Rattus norvegicus: one gene and its partner. The protein of the gene in region 1 purifies or fractionates together with the protein of each later gene. This does not show direct contact. Links are inferred from orthologs where the notes say so. Each region holds a gene or a part of one and is shown in the gene's direction. Other genes may lie near its edges. The genes, in order: Mad2l1bp and Lbr.

The links.
Region 2: the proteins of Mad2l1bp (region 1) and Lbr purify together in Homo sapiens (co-immunoprecipitation; 3 studies listed by BioGRID and IntAct, counting the BioPlex papers as one, with this or other methods). This does not show direct contact. The link is inferred for Rattus norvegicus from reciprocal best matches to the Homo sapiens genes MAD2L1BP and LBR.

What each region holds. Positions count from the first base shown.
Region 1 is NC_086027.1:22,330,126-22,337,620, forward strand, and holds the end of Mad2l1bp (MAD2L1-binding protein), read left to right. Parts: intron 1-14; coding exon 15-280; intron 281-2,988; coding exon 2,989-3,501; 3' UTR 3,502-3,899; downstream 3,900-7,495. UniProt on the Homo sapiens protein: May function to silence the spindle checkpoint and allow mitosis to proceed through anaphase by binding MAD2L1 after it has become dissociated from the MAD2L1-CDC20 complex.
Region 2 is NC_086031.1:96,086,897-96,095,865, reverse strand, and holds the start of Lbr (delta(14)-sterol reductase LBR), read left to right. Parts: upstream 1-156; 5' UTR 157-264; exon of another isoform or gene 265-668; intron 669-3,841; 5' UTR 3,842-3,855; coding exon 3,856-4,020; intron 4,021-5,973; coding exon 5,974-6,189; intron 6,190-8,905; coding exon 8,906-8,969. UniProt on the Homo sapiens protein: Catalyzes the reduction of the C14-unsaturated bond of lanosterol, as part of the metabolic pathway leading to cholesterol biosynthesis.

The sequences.
Region 1 (7,495 bases):
CATTTATGGACTAGATTTGGATTGGACTGAGAAACCGGAAGAAACTCGTGCACCCGGGGTAGATCTTGAGACCGTCATCCCGCCAGTCCAGGAACCTTCCAATTCTGTGGAGCCCTTTTGCCCAAGAGACCTGGTACCGGTGGTGTTTCCTGGACCCGTGAGCCAGGAAGGCTGCTGCCAGTTCACTTGTGAACTTCTAAAGCATATCATGTACCAACGCCAACAGCTCCCTTTGCCCTATGAACAGCTGAAGCACTTCTACCAGAAATCTTCTCCCCAGGTATGTACAGGCTTCCTGAGAAAATTCGGAAGACTTATGGGCCCTTAGATGGTGGGCAACTAGAAAAGTGACCTAAGACGTCTCAGCCTCCGTGGAAGTCTAGGCTTTTGCAAAGGCTTCCTTGCCTCATTTTCTCTGCACTTGGGTCTCTGGGTCTCTCACTTTTTTCGCTTGTTCTTTTTCTTTTTTCTTTTTTTTTTTTCCGGAGCTGGGGACCGAACCCAGGGCCTTGCGCTTCCTAGGCAAGCGCTCTACCACTGAGCTAAATCCCCAACCCCTCTTGTTCTTTTTCTGAGATTCTTCCTATTATGTGGTGTATACGGATATTATGGATTTGTTCTTTAATTTTTTATCGGGAATAGGATTTCACTATGTAGTTTAGGCTGGTCTCTGAAACCTGGCTACCTCAACTTCCCCAGTGACTTCTGAGGTCACAAGTGTGCTTCACCACATCTGGCCTTTCCTTAGACTAGATGGTCTCCGTCTGCCTCTTTTTGTCTCTCTTTCCCTCTCTCCCAACCTCCCTCCTTTTTTCCCTCTCCCTGTCCCTCTCCATATCTCCACCTCCTTCCCTCTAGCTTCTCCCTCTCCCCTCCCTTCTCCAAGGCCTCTCACATGCTACAATGCTATGTTACTGAGCTACATCCCCAGACCTGAACCAGCTCTTTACATTTGAAGTTCTTTTTCTTACCACATTTTACCTCTCTTTCTGGTTTTGTTTTAGTGTGTTTTGGAAGAATTTCTAGGTTTCAGATTCTAATGATTTTCTTCATCTTCTCTTTCTTTCCTTCCTCCTCCTCCTCTCCTTTCTTCTTCTCTTCTCCCCCTCCCCTCCCCTTCCCTCCCCCTCCCCTCCCCCTCCCATCTCCTCTCCCATCTCCTCTCCCCCTCCCATCTCCTCTCCCCCTCCCATCTCCTCTCCCCCTCCCCTCCCCCTCCCCTCCCTTTCGCTCTCCTCTCCTTCTTCTATTAAGACAGGGTTTTTTTGTGTTACCTTCATTGTCCTGGAGCTCACTCTATATAAACCAGGCTGGCCTCAAACTCAGAGACAGATCGACCTGCCTCTGCCTCCCGCGTGCATGAGCCATCTCCTGGTCCGATTAGCTTGTGATTTTCAGTATTCCTCCCACCTCAGCCCTGGGGCTGGGATTATAGCTATCATGCCCTTCAGGACCATGAAATTCTATTTTTTTTTTTTTTTTTAAGGATCCTTCCCACTTTCCTCTTGCTCCTCCAAGTGTCTCCTACAAGCCTTTTCCTTTGTGTCTTTCGGCTTTCGTGGTTGGTTGTTTTATGTTGGAATGTTTTACTATCTGGTAAATAGAATAAACTGTTGTCTGATGCCTGAGCCTTATAAGGTAATTATACCATAAGGAGATCTCCTTGGAGAACTCACCGAGGGCCAGGTGTGGTGCTCTAACCCCAGCAGTCGAGAGAGAGGCAGGCAGACAGACCTCTCTCTGAGTTCTAGACCATCCTGGTCTTCACTGGCAGTTCCAGGACAGCTGAGGTACACAGGGAGACCCTGTCTTAACAAGGGAGAGAGAGAGAGAGAGAGAGAGAGAGAGAGAGAGAGAGAAACTGTCCCTTGAGAATTCCTCACACAGGTTTGTGTTCAGTACTGCCCCTATGCCTTCTGCAGTGTCTCTACTGCCTAGGGTTCTGCAGTGTGGACTCTTCTCAAGCTTCTTGCCTTCTGGCCTATATCCTGTATTATTTCCTCCTTCCCTTACTGAATTTCTGTACACAGTATTTTAGGAGGGAGCAGGTACTAGTAACTGTGTGTAATTGAGTGAGTGGGTTTGTGCATTCGTGGGTGCGTGCATTCATGGGTGCGTGCATTTGTGGGTGCAGGGGTGGTGATGGTGCTAGGTACTGTTTTCCACCTCATTGCCTGAGACAGGGTCTCACTGAATCAGAAGCTCAACACTTAGGCTGGCTGGCCCACAAGCTCTCGGGATGTCTCCGCCACACAGTGCTGGATGTGACTGGGTCTTGAGGATTTAAACTCAGATCTTTGTGTTTGCAGAACAAATGCTTTTACTGAACCATCTCTCCAGACTTTTTTTTTTTTTTTTGGAGTGAGGACCGAACCCAGGGCCTTGCGCTTGCTAGGCAAGTGCTCTACCACTGAGCTAAATCCCCAACCACATCTCACCAGACTTAATAACCATGTGGTGTAATCGTCATGTTCAGTTATTAAACCAAAAAATTCTTTTACACTCCCAGTACAACAACAACAACAACAAAATTGCTTCTTCGTTTTATTGCTTTGTGAGTGCATGCGCACACCCATGCATACACACAAACGTTTGCGTATATGTGCCACAGTATGCACGTGGTGGTCAAAGGATAATTTTGTGGAGTCATTTTTTTCCTGTCTTTACTTGAGTTCTGGGGATCAGATTCAGGTTGCCAGGCTTGTGCCGCAAGCCCCTAAATTTGCTGAGCCCTCTCACTGCCCTCTGACTAGTCTCTTATATTTTAGTGGTCTCCAGCTTTCAATACTGTCTTTGCTAGTCAAAGGCTTAGGAGGATCATAGTTTGTACAGTGGTTATTAGATTTTCCTTAACTTAATGCTGTCTCAGGAAATCCAAATCAGCAGTTCGATTGGTCAGTTTTTCTGCACATATCCATGACGTTCCTTCAAAGGCCACCCACTCCTGTCTACCATGTTCTTTGGGTCCATCATTCTCTGTCTTTACAGGCAGAGGACACAGCAAGGAAGAAACCTCGGCTCACCACTGAGGCGAGTAACAGGAAGTGTCAGCAGGCTCTGGCGGAACTGGAGAGTGTCCTCAGTCACCTACGAGACTTCTTTGCCCGAACACTAGTGCCACAAGTGTTGATCCTTCTTGGAGGCAATGCCCTCAGCCCCAAAGAATTCTATGAACTCGACCTGTCCAGGCTGGCCCCGTTCAGTGTGGACCAGGGCCTGAACACAGCAGCGTGCTTGCGTCATCTCTTCAGAGCCATCTTCTTGGCGGATGCATTTAGTGAGCTGCAGGCTCCCCCACTCATGGGTACCATTGTCATGGTACAGGGCCACCGTGACTGTGGAGAAGATTGGTTTCGACCCAAATTAAACTACCGGGTGCCCAGCCGGGGTCACAAACTCACCGTGACACTGTCCTGTGGTAGACCTTCCGTCCCAGCCATGGCTTCCGAGGATTACATTTGGTTCCAGGCACCAGTGACACTTAAAGGTTTCCATGAGTGAATGTATAAGGACATTGGCTGAATCCTCTCCCCATCTCGTGCCAAGGCACTGATCTCTCCGCTGAGGGAGGAAAGCTCTTTCCTGGCTGTGTGCCTCTCCCCAGATTTCCTGGTGTGTGGTTCTGACTGTGAGAATCGTCATCAAGCAAAGCCCTCGAATTGATGATTGACTCCCAGAAGCCCCTGTGCCAGGTGGTTCTGTTTGGGAGTAGAAAGCAAGGCTGTGTGGGTAGATCCTCTAATGGACGTGGTCTTTCTCCGCTTTATGCTGTGCGTTTTCAGAACTGGTGCCAGAATCATAATATGGATGTGACTCATGAATTTGAATGATGAGATGAATAGATCAGTATTAAAATTTTTTAACGCTTTTGATTTAGACTTTTGGCCTTGAGGCTCAAAGATTGTTGCTGCTGCTGCTGCTGTCTTGCTTTTTTTTGAGGCCTCTTGCGTAGGAGAGGTTAACCTTGACCCTCTGCTTCTCTTTCCTCTACTTCCTGAATGCTGGGGTCCTTGGCATAAGCTTCCTACCTGGTTTACTTGGTCCTGGAATTGGAATCCAGACTTTCTGTATGTTCAAAGCAGAGGTCACTTTTGCTGCAGGTAAAAATTCTGTTAAAGGACCACTCACTGGGAGGGCTCAGGGTCTTGGAGAACTGCCTGCTCGGTGGTAGACTCTAAGCAGCAGGTATGTGGGGAGGAGCAGTGGTGGTAGCTCACAGGAAGCCAGCCTGGAGTCACAAGCCCTCTACCTTGGCCAAAGATGGTTCTAGCTCAGAGAGCAGGAGCCACAGCCCTACTCAAAACGTGGTGAGCAGGAGTCCTAACCATTGTGGTCAGTCAGGACCAAATGCTGTGGCCATATCCAGGCTCTAAAGTCACCATTGATTGGCTTAGCGTGTGCCACACTCCCAGCACCAGAAGCCGAGGCCTGCAAGGCCCTGCAAGGCCCTGTAGCCTCTGCTAGCTGTTGTGAAGTCTCAGTGGTTCTGTGATCAATTCTGCTCTTCGGATCTGAGAAACAAATCTCAGAGGACAAGGAGTTTGCGGAAAAAAAGAAAACTAAGAGGCTCTTCTCAAAGCCAGATGGAACTGTGGGCTCAGGCTCCTCAGATCACCCCCAGATCCTGAGGACTTCCTTGCTGTGTCCCGTTCCTCCTGGAATTTTTGTCCAACCTCTCTCCACTGCCTGATGGCACCTGACATTACTCTTGAAGGCAGCTCCTGGCAACAAATTGAGACCAAAACCCCACCCTGCTGAGGGAGCCGCTGGCTTAAAGTCCGTAGGGTATATGCAAGGTTGTTAGAGTGAGATGTCTGAAATGGTTGAAACACTGTAACACATACGTAGACTAACTAGGTTTTATTTTGTTTCTTAAAATTCTTCTGGAGACAGTTTCCTGTTACTTGGCTATGTAGCATTGAATGACTCCTGATCCTCTGCCTCTGCTAGACTTGCAGGCTATGAGGCCAAGTTTTTACTTTGTTTCTTTCAAATGTTTTAGAAGCTGCAAGACCACTCCTGGGGGTTGGGAAGCCTGTGGCAGGTCCCCCTCATGGCTGTTATTTAGGGTCAGTGATTGCCTGAGTGAGGATTATTTCACCTCCCTTTTAAAACCAGTTTACTATTTCTCCTGAGAATATCTTTTGTTCTGAAAAATTCATATATGCATATAATGTATTTTGATCATATTCATCCCAGACTCCCACGACTACTCCCCCGCCCGCCCCCATGACCCTTCCCACCTTCAAGTCCTTTCAGAGTGTACAGGCATCCTTGTATCTCAAGTCTACGTACTTTAGCTCATCCCTCTGCAATGCCCACGATGGAGGCTATTTCTACAACCCATTTTTTGTGACACCAGGCTGGTCTCTTGTATATCTGCTCCCGTGCTCCCTGTACCTATAATACTGTGTGAAGTACTAAACAAGGCTGGGTGGGCTAGTGCATGCCTTTAATCCTAGCACTTTGGAGGCAGACAGGCGGATCTCTGTGAGTTCAAGGCCAGCTTAGTTCACAGTAAGGACAGCCAGGACTACATAGAAACCCTGCCTCAAAAAAAGGCACTCATACACATTATTTAAGGCTAACATATATGTATATATTACTACCCCATTATAAAGGTAAGGCTTGGTGAGGTTGGTTTGCTTACGTTGGAAGTTCTTGTGGGTCAAACAACCCTTTCACAGGGGTCCCCTAAGGCTAAGTGTGTAAAGCACATTTACGTTATGATTCATAACAGTAGCAAAACTACAGTTGTGAAGTAGCAATGGAGTAATTTTATGGTTGGGGGTCACCACTCCATGAGGAACTGCCGCAGTATCAGGAGGGTTGAGACTCACTGGCTTAAGTGGGGAAGCATGAATTGAAACCTGTTCACCACCTGCAAAAACTGCTCTCCTCTGTGTGCTAACATGAGTGTGGTTTTTCTCTGAAATAGCCAGGATTTGCTCTGTCCCTAATGGGTGTCATTACAGAGCTTCCAGACCCCGCCTTCCTTGTGGAACTCATCACTGATAGGCAAATCCAGGATCTGTGAAAACAAGTGTTTGGGCTGTGTTCTGTGTTGACATCACCTGAAATGTGTCCTGTCAGCCAGACTTGCTTGTTTTGTGTCTGACAATGCTTTGCAGAGGAATTAGACCATATTGCCAAAGCAAGACAGGACGGTGAGGGGAGGAGCTGACATGTGAATGGGGGCCATAGGTTACTGTGAAATGAAAGACCAGCCAGGCCAGCTCTCAAACGCTCATTTGAAAAGCCATAATGAACAATGCCTAGGCAATCAAAACAAAGTAATTATCTGAGTGACTTAGACACTTATTTCTCTATGGGCTTGGCTCAGAGGCCCAGGGCATTTTGACCTCATGAGTCTCTTCAAAGGAATCTAGAAAAAAGAACAATCACTGACAAAGGCCAATTTCCCTGAAACAAGGCTTTGGAACTCCCTGTTGGTTTTGACTTTGGAGACATCAGTAGCGGAGGTGAAGTTGCAGTGGTTAGATCAGCCTAGGGAATGCAGAGCTGGTCTGCTGTTGATACTGTTTGAGTCTGAGCAGCTGTGGAGCCAAGGGTCTGTACTTGTGGGTTATAGCTGACACACATGTAGTTGGTAAGTGGCTTTTTTTTTTTTTTTTTTTTTTTTTTTTTGAGATACTATGTAGCCATGGCTGGCTGGGAACTTGCTATGTAGACCAGGCTGGCCTTGAACTCAGAGGTTTTTTTTTTTTTAATTTATTTATGGGGTTGGGGATTTAGCTCAGTGGTAGAGCGCTTGCCTAGCAAGCGCAAGGCCCTGGGTTCGGTCCCCAGCTCCGGAAAAAAAAATTAAAAAAAAATTATTTATTACCTATAAGCACACTATAGCTGTCTTCAGACACACCAGAAGAGGGCATCAGGTCTCATTACAGATGGTTGTGAGCCACCATGTGGTCGCTGGGATTTGAACTCAAGATCTCTGGCAGAGCAGTCTTAACCATTGAGCCATCTCTCCAGCCCTGAACTCAAGAGTTCTGCCTCCTGGGTGCTGGTTTTAAAGGTGTGGGCCACCATCCCTGGAAAATGTCACCCTTTAAATCCTTTTCCAAGGATTTCCTATTTGTCAGACTAGTCCTGGGAGTCAAACAAAGAACTCTCAAGTAAAAACTGGAGAGGTGAGGTTGGATAGAGCCTACTTGGTGAAACTTGGCTTCGGGTGGGCTTAGCAGGTGCCAGAAACTGCCTTTAGAGCTAGGAGGTATCAGATTCTTCATAAAATTATCAGGCCAAGAAGTGATATTCCCGGGTTGAAATAATGTAGCTATAGTGGCCTTGTTCTTTGTATTGGGTTTCTTCCCAAGTCCTTATGGAGTACGTAATGAGGAGCGCACGTATGGAGCTGGGGGCGCACTTCCTATAAGGAAGCCGCGCCAGTATAACAGAAAAATTGAGTCTACACTGCACTGTGAAAGTTTGGTGTATTCCCGGGCTCCCGGAAAAGGCGGGCTTGGCGAGATGG
Region 2 (8,969 bases), on another chromosome or scaffold:
AGCCCAGCTCGGTGCCTGGGCCGCCGAGATAAACCGGGTGGGGACGCCGGACGCTCACGAGCGGGCGGGCGGGACGCGCCACGGGCCCCCGACCAATCGCCAGCGCCGGCGATGATTCAAAAGGTCGAGGGACCAATGGGAATCCTCGCTAGGGGCGGGACCTCGGGGGCGCGAGAGCGCGGCCGGCTGTGTCGCGCGCTGGATCGCCGCGGGCTGCTGGTGACTGTCCCGGAGTGGCTGGAGTTCCCGCCGGAGCGCGGCCAGGTGAGCGTCGGCACAGGTCCCCGCCGCGTGTGGAGGGTGGGTTTCCCGGGACGGCCGGTGAGGCTGGGGCCGCGCGGGCCGGAAGCCGAGCGTGGGGTTCGGATGACGGACACCCCCCCCTTCCCCGTCTCGGACGCGCGCTTTGGGAGCCCCGGACGGCCTGGGCTGTGCCCGCTGTGGTGTCCGGGCCTCCGGAGAGCCGGCGGCCTTCAGGGGAAGAGTTAACTGCCTCTGGCCCCTGCCGAAGCACCGTCCCACCTGTCCCGGCCTCGTGAGTGCTTCTGCGCGGTGACATCGGGCCTCGCGCCTCCAGCGGCTTCGAGGGCCACTCGCTGCGCACTGGGGTGTGGAGGGCCTGCTCCGGGGCACTTCGGCGACGGTGGGCTGGCCTGGCGGTACGCCCGGTGTGTGTAGCGCACTTGGTGTGCTAGGGCCGGGGCTCAGGTGCACAAGTAGGAGTAGGTCTGGGGCTACAAAATAGCAGCTGCTCGGAGGGAGAAGGTGGGGCTGTAGAGAAGCGGGGATGGAGGACCTAGAACGGACAGAGAGGGTGATGATGAGTACGGTTTGCTTAGTTTCGGAGCATTGACTGGGGGAGTTGGGGCGCGAGTTAGGACTGTAACGGTAAGCGTGCCTTTGGGAATTAAGGGAAAAGACCATTCTGCCTGTATAGCCAGCTTTCTCTTGCATGGCTCTGAAGGGACACAGACCCAGGGGAACGCCTTCCTCTTTGCATTTTGCCTAGCAGGCCTGTGCCGGCTCAGGTGTTTAAGGGTAGCTCTTAGATATCATTTGAGCTTTCTCTTTCTGCCACATTGAGTTTGGGGAAGCGATTACAGACCCTTGCATGGCTCGTGAGCAAAGTAGTAGAAAGAAATCTTCATATTGATACATAGCGATATATTGTACCATACTATTTGGAGTCCAGTGCCAAGTGACATTCGGGTTAGCAAGAATCTGGCTTAACAGAAAAAAAAAAAAAAAAAAAAAAAAAGCCGGGGAATCCTTGAATTCCTGCTATGTGTGGTTGAGGGTACAGTGTTTAGTAAGCAACTTTTCTTTGCAAACACCTGTTTAGGGAAGCCTGTGTGCGCCTCTTGGCTTGTTACTTGGGTGCGTAAGAACACATGCGCACGTCTGGAGCCCCCTTGTCTTATCCAGTATAATTATTTCCTGCTGTGCTGTATTTTGGGATGCTGTTACTTCCATAGCTTCCACTGACTATGTGGATCTTGTGCAAAGTGGCATTCTCCACCTGCCATGTAAAATATTACCATCAAGTGTCAGTTCTTGTTTTTTTTTTTTTTGTTTTGAGACAAGATCTCTGCACAGCACTTATTGTCCTGGAACACAGTAGACTATGCAGACCTTCAACTCAAAGAGATCTCTTCCTCTGCCTTGTGAATAGTGGGATTAAAGCCGCCAGGCCCAGCCAAGTCCCGGTTCTTAATTATTCCTTCCCTTTTTTTTTTCTGGGGATCAAATTTCATATCTTACACATTATACACACATTTTTGAAAAGTTGAGGCTCAAATATCTACTGGGTGCCTCGATTTATGTATTCCCAAGTATTTAATAGGTAAATAGGTAATAGGTTTTGTGTGTGTGTGTGTGTGTGTGTGTGTGTGTGTGTGTGATCCTTGTTGGACTCAGTAGTTAATGTGGTGTCTTCGAGATGCAATAGATAAGTGAGACTAGGGCCATACCATCTTAATCTTCTAGATTGCATCATATCTCTGAAGCTAAACAGGAGAGGGCCTGGACCGTACTGGATGGGATGAATGACAGTGATTGGATGCTTCAGATGGTTCAGAATAAGTCTGTTCCAGGGCCTTTTAAAGATGCAGGTGGTCCCCAAACCCCAAAGTGCTCATATTTCAAGTTTCGAGGCTTTGTTTGAGATCCTGCTGGCATCTTCATATAGAAAGACATTGTGGTCTTTTCTCCAACTTTGGAAGACCTGGGTAGGAGAACCTAATTGATTTGGGGTGGTCTGGGGCGGAAGAGGGGCGGGGAATCAGAGAAGGAAGCCCAGCACGTTTCCTTCCTCTTTGTCCTGGGCAACTTGGAACTAAGTGTTGAAATAGACAGAGCTTTCTGTTGTCACCTTCCTTTTTTGCGCCCCTCCTCGTACAGATGTGGGCCACTGCCCTTCTGCTGCCCAAGGTCCTCATGTACACCTCTGCCAGTCTAACTTCATTCCTAAAGCTTCCAAACATACTCATTACCCAAGAGATGCTATCTCACAAGTTAGGGAGACTGAGGCAGGCTCTGTAATGGACCTCTCATCACCAGATAAACACTTTCTTTCATCTGTTGTCTGTCTAAACAAGTGAAGCTTGTGAAGTCTCAGGCGATTAACAGTGAAGAAACGCGTTTAGAAAGACTTGGCTTGGGAGGGGTAGGTAATGCAACTTTCTCTTTAATTCCAGTCTGCAAGAGTCTTTCGTGTTCCTGTTGGGTTGCATAACCAGGTCTTGGCAGGAGTGTGTCTTGCGTGCATGGGTGATGTATAGAGACCTGCTTGGCAGGTGGCATCTTTAGCTGAAGGAGTCTTTCTGTCTGCTGCTTGCTTATCACTGGTGTCAGTCCACTGGCTTTATCTATCCTGTGAATCTGCTAATCACCTGGGAGCTCTTAGCACAGCCATCATTTTGTATTACCTCATGTAGATGATCATTCTTGAAAATAGTGGTTTCTTGAGGTGTTGAAGGTTTCATGTTTTCAAACAGTGGCAAAGAATGTTGCAGTTGGGGTAGGTGTCAGCTGTAGGCTTGAGAGGTGCACAGGTTAGCTCAGAGCTTAGGTGGGTAGCTGGCAGCCTTAACTGGTATGCACTTGGGAGTTGACTCAGAGTGCAAACTGTATGAGGTAAACCTCAAATATGTTATTCTTTATAGATTTGAAGCTCTTCCTGTTGGTGGGTTATAGTAATGCTAATGTGCATTTTTAATTTTTCCAGTTTGTTTCATAGTTTTATTATTTTCCAGTAAGGTAGCTTGCTAAAAATATAATCTAATGATTTTTAAAGCTTTTGGTGAAATAACATGTAGATCTACAAATAAAAATGTGTCCTTTTGGGGTTGGGGATTTAGCTCAGTGGTAGAGCGCTTGCCTAGGAAGCACAAGGCCCTGGGTTTGGTCCCCAGCTCCGAGAAAAAGAACCAAAAACAAAATGTGTCCTTTTTGAGATGTGCCCTGAGTTTTGGTTATCGTAGGTGGGTAGCATTCTAAGTCGTAAGGTTTGATGCTTGTGACCTTGTCAGAGTTAATCCTCAGTGCCATTTTCTGTGCTCCAGTGTCTCCTCCAAAGTGGTTCCGAATGGAGTGAAACGGAGCTCACGTGGGATTTGTGTTGCTCTGTTACTCCCTCACGTGTGCTTGTGAGCTTTGACAAGCATTACCTCAAGCTCAGGTTCTGCCAGCTATAAACTAAGGTGCCGCGCTTCTTCCTTGGCTTCCTGGCCCTCAAAGTAAAACCAACTAGAAAGTTGTTTCAGTGACCAGCAGTGAACAATCTAGTCCAGAAAAGTAAGTAATAATTATTGACTGAATTTTTTTCTTTAAAATCGTTCAGACTGATTTTGAAAAATGCCAAGTCGGAAGTTTGCTGAGGGCGAAGTGGTCAGAGGCCGGTGGCCTGGGAGCTCCCTGTATTATGAGGTAGAGATTCTGAGCCATGACAACAAGTCCCAGGTCTACACCGTAAAATACAAAGATGGCACCGAGCTGGAGCTGAAGGAGAGTGACATCAAGGTGAGTGTGTCTGCCTTGGTCTTGCAGTGAGTGGGAAGAACTGGAGGCCCATGCTAGATTCCTGCCTTGAGGCTCTGGGGCACATGCTGTTCTTGGTTCTGGGATTATGCGAATGTGTGTGGGCACAGATCCCCAAAGCTCATGCCATTGGGTCTGATCATCCTGTGAGGTGTTTGCTGTGGGTGTGTTAGACCCGGAAGGACCCTGGTTTTTATGGACTTTTGTTTTTTTTTTAAAGATTTTTTATTTATTTTAAGCTATTTATTTAAGCTATTTTAAGCTATGTGAGTACACTGTCACTGTCTTCAGACACACCAGAAGAGGCCATCAGATGTCATTATAGATGGTTGTGAGCTACCATGTGGTTGCTGGGAATTGAACTCAGGATCTCTGGAAGAGCAGTCAGTGCTCTTAACCGCTGAGCCATCTCTCCAGCCCTTTTAGGGATGGTTTTTAGCCCTGTTTTCTCTGGGCTGAGTGCTAGGACAGATGGCAAACCATAGGGCTGGCACCATACCAAAGGCTGTGGGGTGATGCTGGCAGGGCGAAGTACCAGCTGGAGACAAGCTGGGGGGTGGTGTAGGGTTAATAGGCTTGAGTTTCTTCCTCCTCTTCCTCTTCCTCCTCCTCCTCCTCTTCCTCTTCCTCCTCCTCTTCCTCTTCCTCTTCCTCTTCCTCCTCCCCTTCCTCTTCCTCTCCCCCCTCCTTCTGTCTCCCCTCCCCTTTTTCAAGACAAGTTTCCTGTGTGTAGCTCTGGTGTCCTGGAGCTCACTCTGTAGACCAGGCTGGCCTCACACTCAAGAGATCAGCCTGCCTCTGCCTCCCCAGTGCTGGGATCAAAGGCGAGCGCCATCGCCTGGCAGGACATGGGTTTCTACTTAACACTGGTGATGGAATCAGAGGGAGTGACACTAGGTCTGAGGCCAGCTCACAGCTTCTCCTTCCCAGCCTGTCTGTTGATGGCATGGGTTTTAGAAGATTGACCTATGGTATACAAATACATAAAATGCATAAAAATTAGTTTCTATGATAAAGGATAAGCAAAGCTGCAATGTTTGTTAGATTCTCTAGGTATAAAATTGCTTAGTCAGAATGCTCTAAAACCGTCTACTTAGAGCTTAGCAGTTTTGGACCTTGCAGCCCATCATCAACCAATAGTTTGGACCCATGCATGGTCTGCGGATGAGCACTCTGTGTTCTAGTTTTAGCTTTAGACTTTGTGGCTCATGGGGTTCTGTAGTTGAGGGGGCAGCTCCAGCCATATGGAATATGACTTCTCTCTTGATGTTTTTAGCGGTCACTTGAGAGTGTCAATGCCATCCTTAGCTGAGGGCCACATACACAAAACAGTGCCTGGACAGAGGTCCAGGGGTTTACCTGACTCAGGTCTCTGCCCCTGGAAACAAGGAAGGAATGGTTTGCAGTGGATTAGGGCAGAGTAGCCACTGACCAAGGAATTTATTTTTTATTTTATTTATTTATTTTTTTTCCAGAGCTGGGGACCGAACCCAGGGCCTTGCGCTTCCTAGGCAAGCGCTCTACCACTGAGTTAAATCCCCAACCTCTTAACTTGTCTGTTTTTAAGAGCTCCAGTTTGTTTCAGAGTGACTCTGTAGGGCTGCTTTTTGAAAAATTGGTTGGGTGCTAACTATCTTGTCTCACCATGTCAGTTTTGGACAGTATCAGTTCCAAGCCTTTCTGGTGTTGCTGGTGTTCTGATAATGTGTGTGATGTAGTCACTGATTCCAGGGAAGTACCTTTGAAGTTGGCAGAGCAGGGGAAGGAAGCGCTGTCTTTCCTAGGAGCCCGGCTGCTGTAGCATTCCACTGGTCCTGTGTGCTCCGTTCTCAGTTTAGAGTGCATGGCAACAGATAGTGGCCCTGACTGACAGCTCAGCGCTGCCGCTGGACATTAGTGTTCTGATAACATCTCTGTGGCCTTTTCCCTTTCTAGCCTTTAAAGTCCTTTAAGCAGAGAAAGAGTGGCTCAACTTCCAGCTCTCCTTCAAGACGCCGCAGCAGCCGCAGCCGCTCCCGATCACGCTCCCGATCCCCGGGCCGGGCACCCAAAGGTTCCAGAAGATCAGTCTCTGCTTCCTACCAGGCTGACGCTAAGGAAAAGGAAATGAGGAGGGAGATTTTGCAAGTTAAATTGACTCCGCTCGTGCTGGTACTTGTTCCATCTGTCCGCCCCGCACTGGCTTCCCTTTATACACATTTATTCGTATTATTTGCACTTTTGTTAGCAAGTATTTGAAATACAAAGTATAGTTTCTTTGAATATCCAAGAAAAATTGTTTATCTTTAATTTTTATTTTTAGTGTGTATACGTTTGGTATGTGTGTAGCCACACCTGTGCAGGTGAGAGGACAGTTTTATGGAGTGTGTTCTCTCTTTCCACTCATGTGCGTTCAAGGGATTGAACTCAGATCATTAGGCTTGAAGGCAAGCATTTCGACCTGAAGCTACCTTAGCTGCTTCAGTGATGTGACCAGGAGCCCTGATAGTGTGTGTGGTCTTTAAAAGATGCTTACATTGAAACAGATGTAGCTTGTAGGCTATGAAGTGAGGAGACACCTACTCTGTTAGACATTCTTGCTCTCTCAGTTGGCAGCCTTCTGCTTGGTCACGTTCACTCTTTAAAAATCTTTCCCGTGGAATGACTTTGGTGGTCCATGCAGACGTGGGTGGAGCCAGGGGACCTAGCCAAAAAGTATTTCATCTTATGTAGTATTATAGTTTTTTTACTTTCTTTTTCTTTCTTTTTTCTTTTCTAAGACTGGGTAGCCTAGGCTGGCCAAGAACTTGATAAAAATCCCCCTGTCTCCATTTGTTCAGTTCTGAGATCATAGGGTAAGCTACCACAGTTGATGGATAAATTTTTTTTTTTTTCTTTTTTTCGGAGCTGGGGACCGAACCCAGGGCCTTGCGCTTGCTAGGCAAGCGCTCTACCGCTGAGCTAAATCCCCAACCCCTGGATAAATATTTTAATCATTTGTTCTCAACCTTCCTAATGCTGTGCCCCTTTACAGTAACTCCTCATGTTGTGGTGACCCCACCATAAAATTATTTTGTTGCTACTTCATAACTCTGATTTTGCTATTATGATTCTTAATGTAAGTATTTTGGGGGATAGAAGTTTGCCAAAGGTGTTGTGACCCACAAGTTGAGAGCCCCTGTTTTAGACACTAGCTAGAGCGAAGTAAAAAGAATGCTTTTTTTTTTTTTTTTTGGTTCTTTTTTTTCCGGAGCTGGGGACCGAACCCAGGGCCTTGCGCTTCCTAGGCAAGCGCTCTACCACTGAGCTAAATCCCCAACCCCAAAAAGAATGCTTTTGTATTCTACTCATTTAATGCCATCTCTTCTGGAGACAGAGCACCCGGGCTTCTAATAATCTTAAAAACTAAACGGTGAGTAATGCACTTAGACTTTGAAATGTTAAAATAGTGAGAATAACGTGCCATGTGGTAGTTTCCTCTTTCTGTTGTTACACAGTAAACCTCAAGACACATACATACCTTAGTATTAAAGTTAGTTCTGTGGTGCAACCTTGTGTTTTTCCCTCTCGGTGTTCACTGTTCTAAACGCTTTCTGCAGCATCTCGTCATCTCCTTAGACTTAGCTTGGTCAAGGTGGACAGTGCACAACAGAGGCTTGTAATACGTGTGCTGGACTGGGTGAGCATGCTTGTGCCACCATCAGTACCGTGTGGAATGCTTGCTTTCCATCTGAGGACTGTAACAGCCCCCCCCCCCCCCCCACCGGTTGTCAGAGATTGTCACCTTCTTTTTCAGACTTTGTGCTTCCTTATATGATGGACTTGCTGTTTCTTTGAGTGGCTCTCTACCACGTGGGGGAGGGGCAGATGCTGCTCACTGCTTTCCGTTTCAGCTTCCATCTTCACACTGCCCTTTTATTGATAGAAGAGCTTCGGGTGGCCTTGCCCCTGTCGTCAGAGTCTAACCTGCATGGTGTGTCCAGTTCACATTTAGGCTGCCTCAGCTGTGGACATCACGTGTGAGCTCAGTAATGCACCTCACAGTGTTGAGTGCTCTCTCCTCCTCCTCTGTCCACTCGGGAAGCATTGGCACGTAGTCAGCGTGGGTTAGAGTGAGCTGACTGCTGGCTCACTCCCTGACACTGGGTACACTCCGGCGTATAGCGGGCGCTCTGCTGCTCGCCTGACCTTGAACCCAGTGTGAGCTAATGCTGCCATTGTCGGCTGGTCTGAAGGATGGACTTCTGGAAGCTGAAGCTGGACTTTTGTTTGCTTCTTGACTCAGTAGTGCTTTAGTTGGTTGACAGTCTCTACAGAGGAGAGAAGAGACTGTTGCAGCCATCGCCTTAACAAGCTCTAGCAAGCTAAATTGATTCTCTTTTCTCAGTAAGAAACTATGAGGCTGAGCCGAGAGGGACAGCTAGGGAGGAAAATAATTAAGGGTAAACAACATGTAGCATGAAATGCAAACAGCCAGTCTTCCCACCGTGGGCTGGTTAGGGTCGCTGAAAGTCTTTTCTTCATTTTAATTTGTAGCTAGTGAACGAATTTGCCAAGTTTTACTCACCTGCCTTTCATAGAAATGTTACAGTATGACAGTGAAATTATGGAAACATTAAGTGTGAAAGTGTTTGAAAGAAGGACAGTTAATATAGAAGCCTGTTCCAAAACATAGTGTTGCATAGCTGTAATCCCAGTGCTCAGACAGGGGTTGAGACTGGAGGATTGCCACAAGTTTGAGGCACTGACCTTTTGAGGACCAGGGAGGTCTAGGTGACTTTGTCTCTTGGTTTTTAGCTTGTGTCTGCTGCTTTCCCAGTCGTACCTTGTTATCGTTGCGATGCCTTGCTGGGTCAGGTCTGATTATGTCGGTTCACATTCCATTTAGAAGCCGTTTGCAAACAGCGTCAGTGTGTACAACGGGGAGCCCGAACACATGGAAAAGAGCGCCA